Regions from separate parts of the Mus musculus genome. Here regions 2 and 3 are each reported to be linked to region 1. The links are microRNA targets in miRTarBase. Many come from high-throughput screens and were not tested one by one. Region 1 holds a microRNA gene; each other region holds the end of a gene's coding sequence.

Region 1 (3,257 bases):
AAAATACCTAATAAAATAAAATACAGAACAGAGAGTGGTGAAATTCAGGAAAACATGGACTATGTTAAAACCTTCTATTTAATTACATTAGAAACCTTAAAGAAGTATTCACCAGTTGGTCTTCCCTCTTCTTGTGTTTTACAAATTGAGTATACTAAGCTTATGGGCTATTATCCGATGCTCAGTGAGTGCATAACTAACCACTTCTGTCATGATTGGGTTACTTCACTAAGGATGATATCCTCCAGATACATCCATTTGCCCATGAATTTCATAATCTCATTGTTTTTATTAGCTGAGTAGTACTCCAGTGTATAAATGTATCACATTTTCGGTATCCATTCCTCTGTTGGGAGACATCTGGGTTCTTTCCACCTTCTGGCTATTGTAATAAGGCGGCTATGAACATAGTGGACCATACCCTATAGGTAGAACAACAATATGAACTAAGCAGTATCCCCAGAGCTCATATGTAGCAGAAGATGGCCTAGTTGGGCATCATTGGGAAGAGAGACCTCTAGGTCTTGCAAACTTTATATGCCCCAGTACAGGGGAACGCCAAGGCTAAGATGTGAGAGTTGGTAGATAGAAGATCAGGGTACAAGGAGAGTATAGGGAACTTTTGGAATAGCATTTGAAATGTAAATGAGGAAAATATCTCATAAAATTAAAAAAAAGAATGAAACCTAAAATAAATGGATGTATTTCTAGACAAATATTATCTACTGTAGAGCAAATATGAAGGCTTGATCTCTTGTGAAGAGAAATGGAGGAGAGAATTAGATCTGGTGGACAGGGGAAGTGTAGGGCAGGGGCTATGAGGTGTGTAGAAAGAAGTAAGATAACGTCTGGATGTAATACATGAGGAAAGAATAAATAAATAAATAAATAAATAAATAAATAAATAAATAAATAGAAGTAAAAAAAAAAAGAATGTGGCCATGTGGAAGCTCACCTATAATTACAGAAGGCACATTACATGTACCTACAGATATTCTGAACATTCATCTACAAGTCATATTAAATGTATAGTTGGTAAGCCTTACTCTACTTAGAAAGGCCCTGATCAATTTTTTATTTCATCAGATCAGCACCATTCTAAATAGGGCATTGCATACAAAGCCTTTAAGGAGATGTTCAAACATTCATAAACAGTCTTGTTAGCTTCATCAAACCTCTAATCATAGCCGTTAAGGGCCAAGTAAAGGGTCATACAGAATCCTACTACTATAGAAGTTTCTTTTAATATATATACACATATGAGGAATCAAAACAAAGTCACTAAATAATAGGGAAACCATGCTCTCCACATTACAACTTTCACCATCAAGTGAAACATGCAATGATGAACTGTTTATATCTAGTTGGATCATTAACCAAATGGTTTCCTCCAGCAAACAACTTAGGCTATTGTAAATATTTTGTAAATTGCAAAAACTCTTCATAAGGTGATATTATTGAACAAGGAAGTCAGAGTGGTACCTGTAGAATCAGCACCTCTACTAATCAGCATTCATGGTACTGAAAGTTACTCTGAATGATACCAGAGGATAAATGTAACCATCAACACAACTACAAACCATGTGCTCTACATGGTGATTTGCCTACATGCTGTACTGGTGAAATAGTGGCACAAATGCAATGCAAGTAACTAATTAATCTCTCAATGGGTTTAAGGCCTGCTGTACAAGATGGAACCCATATCCTGGGGTCAAGAATCTAAGTCATGGGCCTAGGAAAGAAACGCATGTTCTATTTTTCTTCTAAATGTACAATTAAATGACTCCTAAGGATGTTCTCCTATACGCATACCAGTGTTTTGATCAGCCATAATTAAAGTTTCCTCTTACAGTGGATGGAAAAACACAGACCCAGAACTGGGCAGGATGCAGAGAATGAGAGAATTTGAATAAATACAGGACAATTTAAAGTAGGTATTGCCTCAGCTAGATCCATCACTCTTAGTAATTTTATCACTGTACTCCATAGAGTGTAGAATTTATTAACTGACCTTTACTCATAAACCCTAGAAAAAAAACCAAAATACTATTTTAAACTTATGCCTTTTCCCAAATTCCCTAGCCATTTTATCACTAAATTATGAAATAGTCATCAATGAATTTGGTACCTATTCCCCCTATTGTACATAAAATTAGTGTTCTAATGCTCCTGGGTAAAAGAAAGTAACTGCATATATACTGCCATTTACACCCAGAGCACAATTTCAGGGCATGATGATTCTTGTTTTTACACAAAGATTTGTTCTTCATGTGTTTATAGGACTGAAACAAATCAAGACTATAGCCTGGTATATAGTGCTGATTTCACGTATCTTTACCCTTCCCCATACTTTCAACTGTAATTATAACATAAATAAACATAATATAACATACATAAAGAAATAGCTTTCATCCTGTTCTACTCAGGAAATTCTCTCACCATCAAAATTCTCCCTGAAAGTACATTTACTCATGTTTTTTCTTTAAATGAATACTCATCTCTGTATCAATGCAATATGTTGACTACTATTTTCTTTTTTGACAACTTTACTACATTTAGTATATATGGCTTATTTGCTTTTATTATTTACCTTTGTTTTCTAACCTGTACATTTTACAGTAAACAATTCTATGGTGAATACACCCTAAGTTACATTGATGTCCAGACAGTTACAATGCATCCTGCTATCAAAAACGTTTATCTCTCACATGTTTGAAGTTTAAACCAAATTATATCACCACAAATATTGTATGAGTGAGATTTATTTCAGACAAAGAAGTCCTGAAAATATCTAAGTCACCTATGCATCATCAACATTAGTTAACTGTTTTGTACTGCCCGAACATGTCCCATCATATCCTAGAGACTTTGTCATACTCCTAGAAAAGACTTGGGACTGTTCACAGGGTCCCCAATGGAGGAGTTAGAGCAAATACTGAAGGAGATGAACGGGTTTGCAACCTATAGGAAGAACAACAGTATCAAACAACCAGAACCCCTACATGCTATGGACTAATCCACCTTCCAAGAGTACACATGGAGGGACCCATGGCTCCACCAGCATATATAGTAGAGGACAGCCTTTTTGGGAATCAATGTGAGAAGAGGCCCTTAGTCCTGTGAAGGCTTGATGCCCCAAATGTAGGGGAATGCCAGGGAGAAAAATTGGGAGTAAGTGGGTGGGTGAGGTAACACCCTCACACAAGCAGGGGGAGGTTAGATGGGATGGGGGGGATATTGGTAAATGGGAAAACATT
Region 2 (3,257 bases), not on the chromosome of region 1:
CAATCGGCTGGGCTGCCATTCTGCACACACACACCCAGGCTTCTCACACAGCAGAAGAAAAGGAGCTGAAAGGCACCAGGAACCCAGGGCGAGGGGAGACAGGGAGGCTCGGCTCTGAGGGTCTGCTTCCTGTGTCTAAGGGTCACCGACACATTGCTGCTGGGTTTGAAGTCCAGTGTGTCTTCCTCCACTGTGGGATGGGAAAAGTAGATCGGTTTCCCAGCCACATGTGTGTGTGTGTGTGTGTGTGTGGAGGGGCGGGTGCGTGCCATGCTGGGTGTGGTCAGAGGCTAGCCTTCAGGAGTTGTTTCTCTCCTACTATATATGTCCTAAGGCTTAACTCAGGCCATCGGCTTGCCAACAGCACCTTTACCTGCTAAACGTTTTTTGCTGGCCCTTAAGCCCCCCCAAATTGTTTTTGAGTCCCATTTGGATGAGATTGCTAGAGTAGCCCTTTAGGATAGAGGTTGAGCCCCTACAGCAACTGAGGCTAAGGTTCCATCCCCAGGTGTGAAATCCTGTGAGCCTGGGCGATTGGAGGTGGAACCTGTTCTCTCGTCCTCCGTCCTCCTTCTCATCTGGTCACTGAAGTTCAGCCATTGTTCTCCCCAAAGCAGCCAACTCTCTTTGGGCACATTTACAGAAAAGCTCCTCTCAGAATCTGAACCCACAGACTCAGCCTCCTGTCAGAGTTTACTGAATGGTGTCTTTCTACAGAATAGAAGCCATCCTATCCTGCTGACTTGCAGTCTGAAAACTATTCAGTCCTCTTTGCAGGAGGCTCCTCGAAAGTCCAGAGGACGTTTCTCCCGAGGGAACTCGCTCCTTAAGCTTTCAAACAGGGATGTGACTAGCACTCCCGGGCAGCATCGTCACCTGGGTGCAGAGCCTGACGGTAGGTATGTCAGGAAGCTTGTGAAAGAGCCCAGGGGTGGCTATCACAACTGAGGGCTGAGTTCTCCACCTGGGGCTCTTGATGGAAAAGCTGTGTCGCAGCCCCAGATAAAGCACTCCTGAAAGTTGTGAAGACCAAGATGCAACTGACCACAGAATATCAAACCGCTCTCTACCTGTCTCCTCTCTCCATTTCCACCTACTCCCAAGCATCTCTCCCCTTTCCCAGAGCCCTTTATTGCAGCTTGGAAAGCTTTAGCTTTTAAGCCTAAACCGACACAGGCCACAGGTAGCACTGTGGACAGCTACCGGCTTCAGCAACTGTTGTTCCCAGGCCTTCTCGGTGATGGACACCTTGGGGGAGGGGAGTGTTCCCCAAACTCGGCATTCATTCAGAGCGACCCAGTTACATTACAGATCTAATGTGCTAAAGTAAAATAATGGGGTTTTCTCTGTACTTCTGCAATTGTGATTACATATGGCTTGAGGAGGCTGAGACGCTAGCGGGATTAACCGCGCAGGTGTGAACTCTTGGAAGCAGCTAAATGCTTTGAAATCCGCTGTGACGAGAAGCCTTAGCTAGAGATCTGATTTGTACCTATCGATATCAGCATGTCTGCCTTCGTGACACTGATTTCAAAGAGAATTTTGCATTCTGCCTTAGAATGCACACTGGCTATTGTGTTTGAATTCAATGAGCTGTGTGTGTCACAAGCCAGACTGTACTAGGTTATGTACAATTAATGTGTACCCAAGAAGAAGAAAAAATTAGCAACACTACTGGAGATACTGCAAAGTTGCCATAACAACTGCTTAGATATAACTTCCCTCTCTTCTTCCTGAAAGTGTATCTTAAAACCCTTCCATAACTTGATGCAAACAAGGTAAATCCATTTCTTCTCACATCTGAAAGCAAAGATATCCTTGTTTACATGCGAGAATAGTAAGTCTATAAATAACAGTCTGGCCCTAGGAGCCAGGACTTTATATCAGGACGTAAGAGTGAAATGGCAGAGAAAGGACCAGAGAGACCTGTACGCTGCTACAAATGCAAAATCCAAGTGGAAGCTTTCTCTTGTAAAGTATAGCTAGTATAGTGAAGCTAAAGAAATTACTCAAAACACTGGGCTTCGGGTCACTAGGAGAGGAACAACAAAAACAAAGCCATTCTACTGCAAGAGATACAGATCAAAGGTTAAAAGGCAAATGACCCTACGTGTATATAAAGATGTAATTGCTTCCTGCCCTGCGGTTGGCAACATGCAAGGGTGACAACACCATTTGCACTGGCCATAGAGAAAACATCATGGAAAAAAAAATAAAAAGAAGAAGAAGAGACTGAAGAACCCCGTTTCCCCTTTTCAGCCTCATCATTTGGTATCTCTGAACACGGTCCAGATTTAGACTTTCACCATCAAAGAACATCATGCTGTCTACAGTTCGACAGTACCTCTCAGTAGGGCGTTGTGGCAAGGCTAGCTAATTTTAAATCTGGTACGAGTAATACAGTCAAACCTAGTTAGTATGCGAGAGAGAGAGAGAGGGGGGGGGGAGAGAGAGAGAGAGAGAGAGAGAGAGAGAGAGAGAGAGTCGTTGCTAACGCAGGGTGAGAGGATGTGATGTCATGGCATGAATAGTCCCTGGTTGTCCCGTTGTCAGATAAATGTAGTGCATAGATCCAAGTTTCTACTCCAGGTCTCTGGGACCCAGTGCCAAGCCTTTCACTTCTGCTGGGTGGCCTGGAAGGCCTTCAGCTCCACTTGATACCACTCGGGGGCTTCAGGCCCACTCTTCCCCGGGGGGCTGTGGTCATAGCCGTAGGCAACGGTCAGCTCTTCCTCGGCCTCCACAGCTCGCAGGGTGCGGATGCACTTGATCGGCCCGAAACGGGGGTGGACAAACCTAAACATTAAGACGGGAAAGGTCACTCTTGGGTCAACCGAGGACCTCAGTGCCAAGGGAGCGGCTCACCCACATGCACTGGGTGTCACTCCCGAGTTCTCAGAGAAGGGGCACACCCCCACCAGCTTCAGCACCCACTCTAGGCAGTCTGGGGTGGAAGGCTCAGCTGGTAAAGTGTTCATCTAACACATATGGGGCCCAAGGCTCGTCTCAGCATAACCATAAACCAGGCATGGTGGTCCTAGTGCTCGGGAGGTGGGGGAGGGGAATCAGTCTCTTGGCTTCATAGTGAGTCTGAGGCCAGACTGGGATTATACAACATCCTGTCCTAAAATTAAAACCCCAAATCTCCCAGAACACCCCAGCACATATTGGAGAGAGAGGTCAGAGGACAACTTGGAGAAGTCGCTCCTTTCCTTCAACCATGTGGGTTCCAGGGATCAAACACAATAGGCTTGGTG
Region 3 (3,257 bases), not on the chromosome of region 1:
TAACTCACAACCTATGTTCATCACAGCACTAGGCAGACTGAGGTAGGTTGACTGTCACAAATTCCAGAGTAGCCTGTGCTACAGTGAGACTTAATCTCAAAAATCACGAGCTGGAGGAATTACTGTGGTCAAGAGCACTGATTGCTATCCCAAAAGAGCTCAATTCCCAGCAACCACATCATGGCTCATGACCTTAAAGTACACACACACACACACACACACACACACACACACCCCATGTGTTTGGATCACCTGGAACTGAGTTACACACACACACACACACACACACACACACCCCATGTGTTTGGATCACCTGGAACTGAGTTACAGACCTACCTTTCAACTAAAGAATACTGGGCTTGTAAAGATTTGTGGCTCACTCCTGCCCTCTGGTGGATAGACACTTGGACACAAGAGCATTCTGGCCATTCTGCAAATCTTTTCTGTGGGCCTACTGTGCGTGCTCCAGTCCCCTTTCCCAGTGCTGTGGGAGTCTCAGGGGAGAAGGGAAGGAAAGGCTCATAGTGCCTGGTAGTCTACAGGTCATACCACACCGGTGAGGCAGTCCTGCGGCTAGTGTGAAAGGTGAGAGGTTCAGAGAGCTCCCAGGAACATGTCTGGGAGGTGCACTGCACCGAGCTAGGGCTGGTTAAAATGTTTTTTCATTCTGTTGTTCCCTGAGATAGGATCTCACTGTGCAGCCCTGGCTGGCCTGCAAGTCACCATGTAGACTAGCCTTGCCTCAGATTTTGGAGATCAGCTGCTTGCTGTCTTCCAAAGGCTGAGCTGGGTCCTGAGTGAGAAGCAGTTCCCAGAGGACAATGCCCTAAAAGGGGGATGGATGAAGGGTCAGAATCTTGCCTTTGGCTGATTTCAACTGATGCAGCTCACTGCACCATTTTTGCATGTTTGTTCATTTGCTTATTAACTTTATGTTTTAGGTTACACTCTTCTGTAGTATGCTGAGTTGGCTCTCTCCTGACAGCAGGTAGCATGCTGTAGGAATTAAAACTGCCAAGCTTGGTGGCTAGTGCCTTTCACGGCTGAGCCATCTCACCAGGTCATGCAAGTTTACTTTCTCACGCGTAGCCCAGACTGGACAACCATGTGCTTTGTGTGTGCCATCGGCATTAGGCATGTGTACTGTGCCTGTGTACCGTAGGACCCAGAGGATGCCCAGTGGCCTGCTCTATCATGCTTCATGTTATTCCTACTCACAGTCTCTCAATCTGAAACAAGACCTGCAGCCACCAAGCCCCAGGGACACGGTCTTATCTCCAAAGACACCGAGGTTACAGGAAGTGCACACGGCCATGTCCAGCATTTTGGTGCTGGTATCTAAACTGAGGTCTTCTCAGGCCTCTGTATCGAGAGCTATCCTCTCAGTCCACCACCCTTAACTCCAGAATTAAATCCAACTTTGGGCCTGGGATTTGCAGATGTGGCACCACACCCAGTTTATGCAGGGTAGGGCTAGAAGCCAGAGCTTCCTGAATGCTAGGCAAACACTCTGTAAACTAAGTCCTTTAATTCATTTTCACCGAGACAGTGACTCACTGGTCAGCCTAGCCCGGCCTTGAACACATGACCCTTCTGTTTCATTCATTCTTCAGAATGATACATGTGCTTTAAAAAAAAAAAACAAACAAAAAACAAAAAACAAACATTGCTGGAACTGAAACCACGCTAAGCCAAGCTCTGCCACTAAACTCTAGCCAGAGCCCCAGGCTACATTCTTTCTAACAGGAGAAATCCTCAAAGTTGCTCCCCAGGACTGGAGAAAAGACTCAATGTTGCAGAGGACACTGTGTTCACTCCAAGTAGCCACATGGTGGACTGAGGGCCACTGGGAACTACAGTTCTAAGAGATTCTGGCCTCTGCAGCCACTACATGTACACGTACAGAACACTCATACACATAAATTAAATTTTAAGCCAGGAGTGGCTCATGCTTTTGATGCCAGCACTCAAGAGGTAGTGAGTGGCACGTGGATATCTGAGTTTGAGGCCAGCCTGGTCTATATAGTGTGTTCCCAAACAGCCAAAGATACATACAAAACCTATCTCAAAAAGACATTCGGGCGTGCGAGCGTACACACACACAAATAAAAATTTAGAATAAGATGTTCCCCTAGCAGAGGCAAAGTCTAGTGTGAAAGGCCACATATATCTCATGCCCAGGTTACCCTCAAACTCGTGTCCTCTTGTCTCCATGGAGTGCTAGGGGGAGAGGGGAGACAGAGGGAGGAGTTAGGGGAGGCTGAGACAGACAGTTGGAGAGACACAGAAGGCCTAGGACTTCTGAAGGGTGAGGACAGGGCAAAGGCATGGATGGCTGTTAGCACTCCAGTTCTCCCCACCTAGGTTCACCCTCTGCCTCAAACAGCACTGAACCAGCGGCCTCCAGCACCTGGAACTGTTTATTGGACATTGTTGCCAGTTGCAGGACAGGAAGCTAGACAGAAGAAAAACAGTGACCATAGACCCATAGGGACAGACCTTGCCTAGATGGGGACATTTGTATCCCCAACCCGGTGGACCAACCTGGCAACTGCTGCCCCTCCCCAGGCCCCCAGGACTTTGGCATAACGCTGATGGGGGTAGGAGGCTGCAGACAGCAGAGCCCCTCAACCCGAAGCAGAGAGTCTGATGAGCGCTGGGGACAGGTGGGAGGAGAGGGGACACGGGGCAGGCCATGGGCCAGGATGTGAGGAGCAGCACAAGTGAAGAAGTTGGGAGCTAGGGACATGGTGGCTAAGTTTCCTTTTCCGGAGAAGGGTCACGCACTGACGTCTTTCTCGTTGCCCGCTTTGGGGACGGCTTCCAGCAATGGGTCCCCGGGGCCCGCCTCCTCCCCCTCCTTGGCCTCACCAGACTTGGAGTTGGGGACCCAGAGGCCAGAATCGATGCAACGCTGCATGTGATACTTGGCATCCTGTGGAGAGAGGGAGGACAGCAGATGAGGCCATGCCAGCAGCATGATGCCCAGTGTCCCCTGCACCTCCTTCAAGGCTGCTCAGCACCCACTCCACCCAGGACTGGTAATATAGAACTGCAGAAGCTAGCATGTGACTCAGCGGGTGCAGCAATTGCCCAGTGTTCTGAGACTCTACCATTCCAGCACCACAGACAAGCAGATATGGTGGTACACACTTGTGATCCCACCAATTAGGAAGTGGCAGCAGGAGGGTCAGGAGCAAAGGTCATCAGTTATGTAGCACATTTGAGGTCAGCTTGGGCTACATGAGACCCTGTCT

Evidence for each region. Region 1 holds the annotated microRNA mmu-miR-465b-5p (UAUUUAGAAUGGUGCUGAUCUG, at 1,084-1,105, opposite strand). A microRNA usually pairs through its seed, bases 2 to 8, with sites in the 3' UTR of a target mRNA and lowers its output. Matches are read on the target gene's strand: a 7mer-m8 pairs with bases 2 to 8, a 7mer-A1 pairs with bases 2 to 7 and ends in A, and an 8mer does both.
Region 2: the mRNA of Setd7 is a reported target of mmu-miR-465b-5p. Seed matches in the 3' UTR shown: 7mer-m8 at 2,293-2,299.
Region 3: miRTarBase lists Cdc37 as a target of mmu-miR-465b-5p. The part of its 3' UTR that is shown has no 7-base or 8-base seed match.

Annotation. Positions count from the first base shown.
Region 1 is chrX:66,834,728-66,837,984 of GRCm38, forward strand. It overlaps Mir465b-2 (microRNA 465b-2), which reads right to left and starts at 1,115; the gene lies at 1,037-1,115.
Region 2 is chr3:51,518,692-51,521,948 of GRCm38, forward strand. Setd7 (SET domain containing (lysine methyltransferase) 7) reads right to left here. Exons shown (of 8, transcript NM_080793.5): 8 at 1-2,796. The coding sequence ends at 2,616. Among named protein-coding and RNA genes, the nearest start is that of Gm36008, 9.3 kb to the left of the region's middle.
Region 3 is chr9:21,137,029-21,140,285 of GRCm38, forward strand. It overlaps Cdc37 (cell division cycle 37), which reads right to left. Exons shown (of 8, transcript NM_001378796.1): 8 at 2,403-2,935. The coding sequence ends at 2,780. Among named protein-coding and RNA genes, the nearest start is that of Tyk2, 7.4 kb to the left of the region's middle.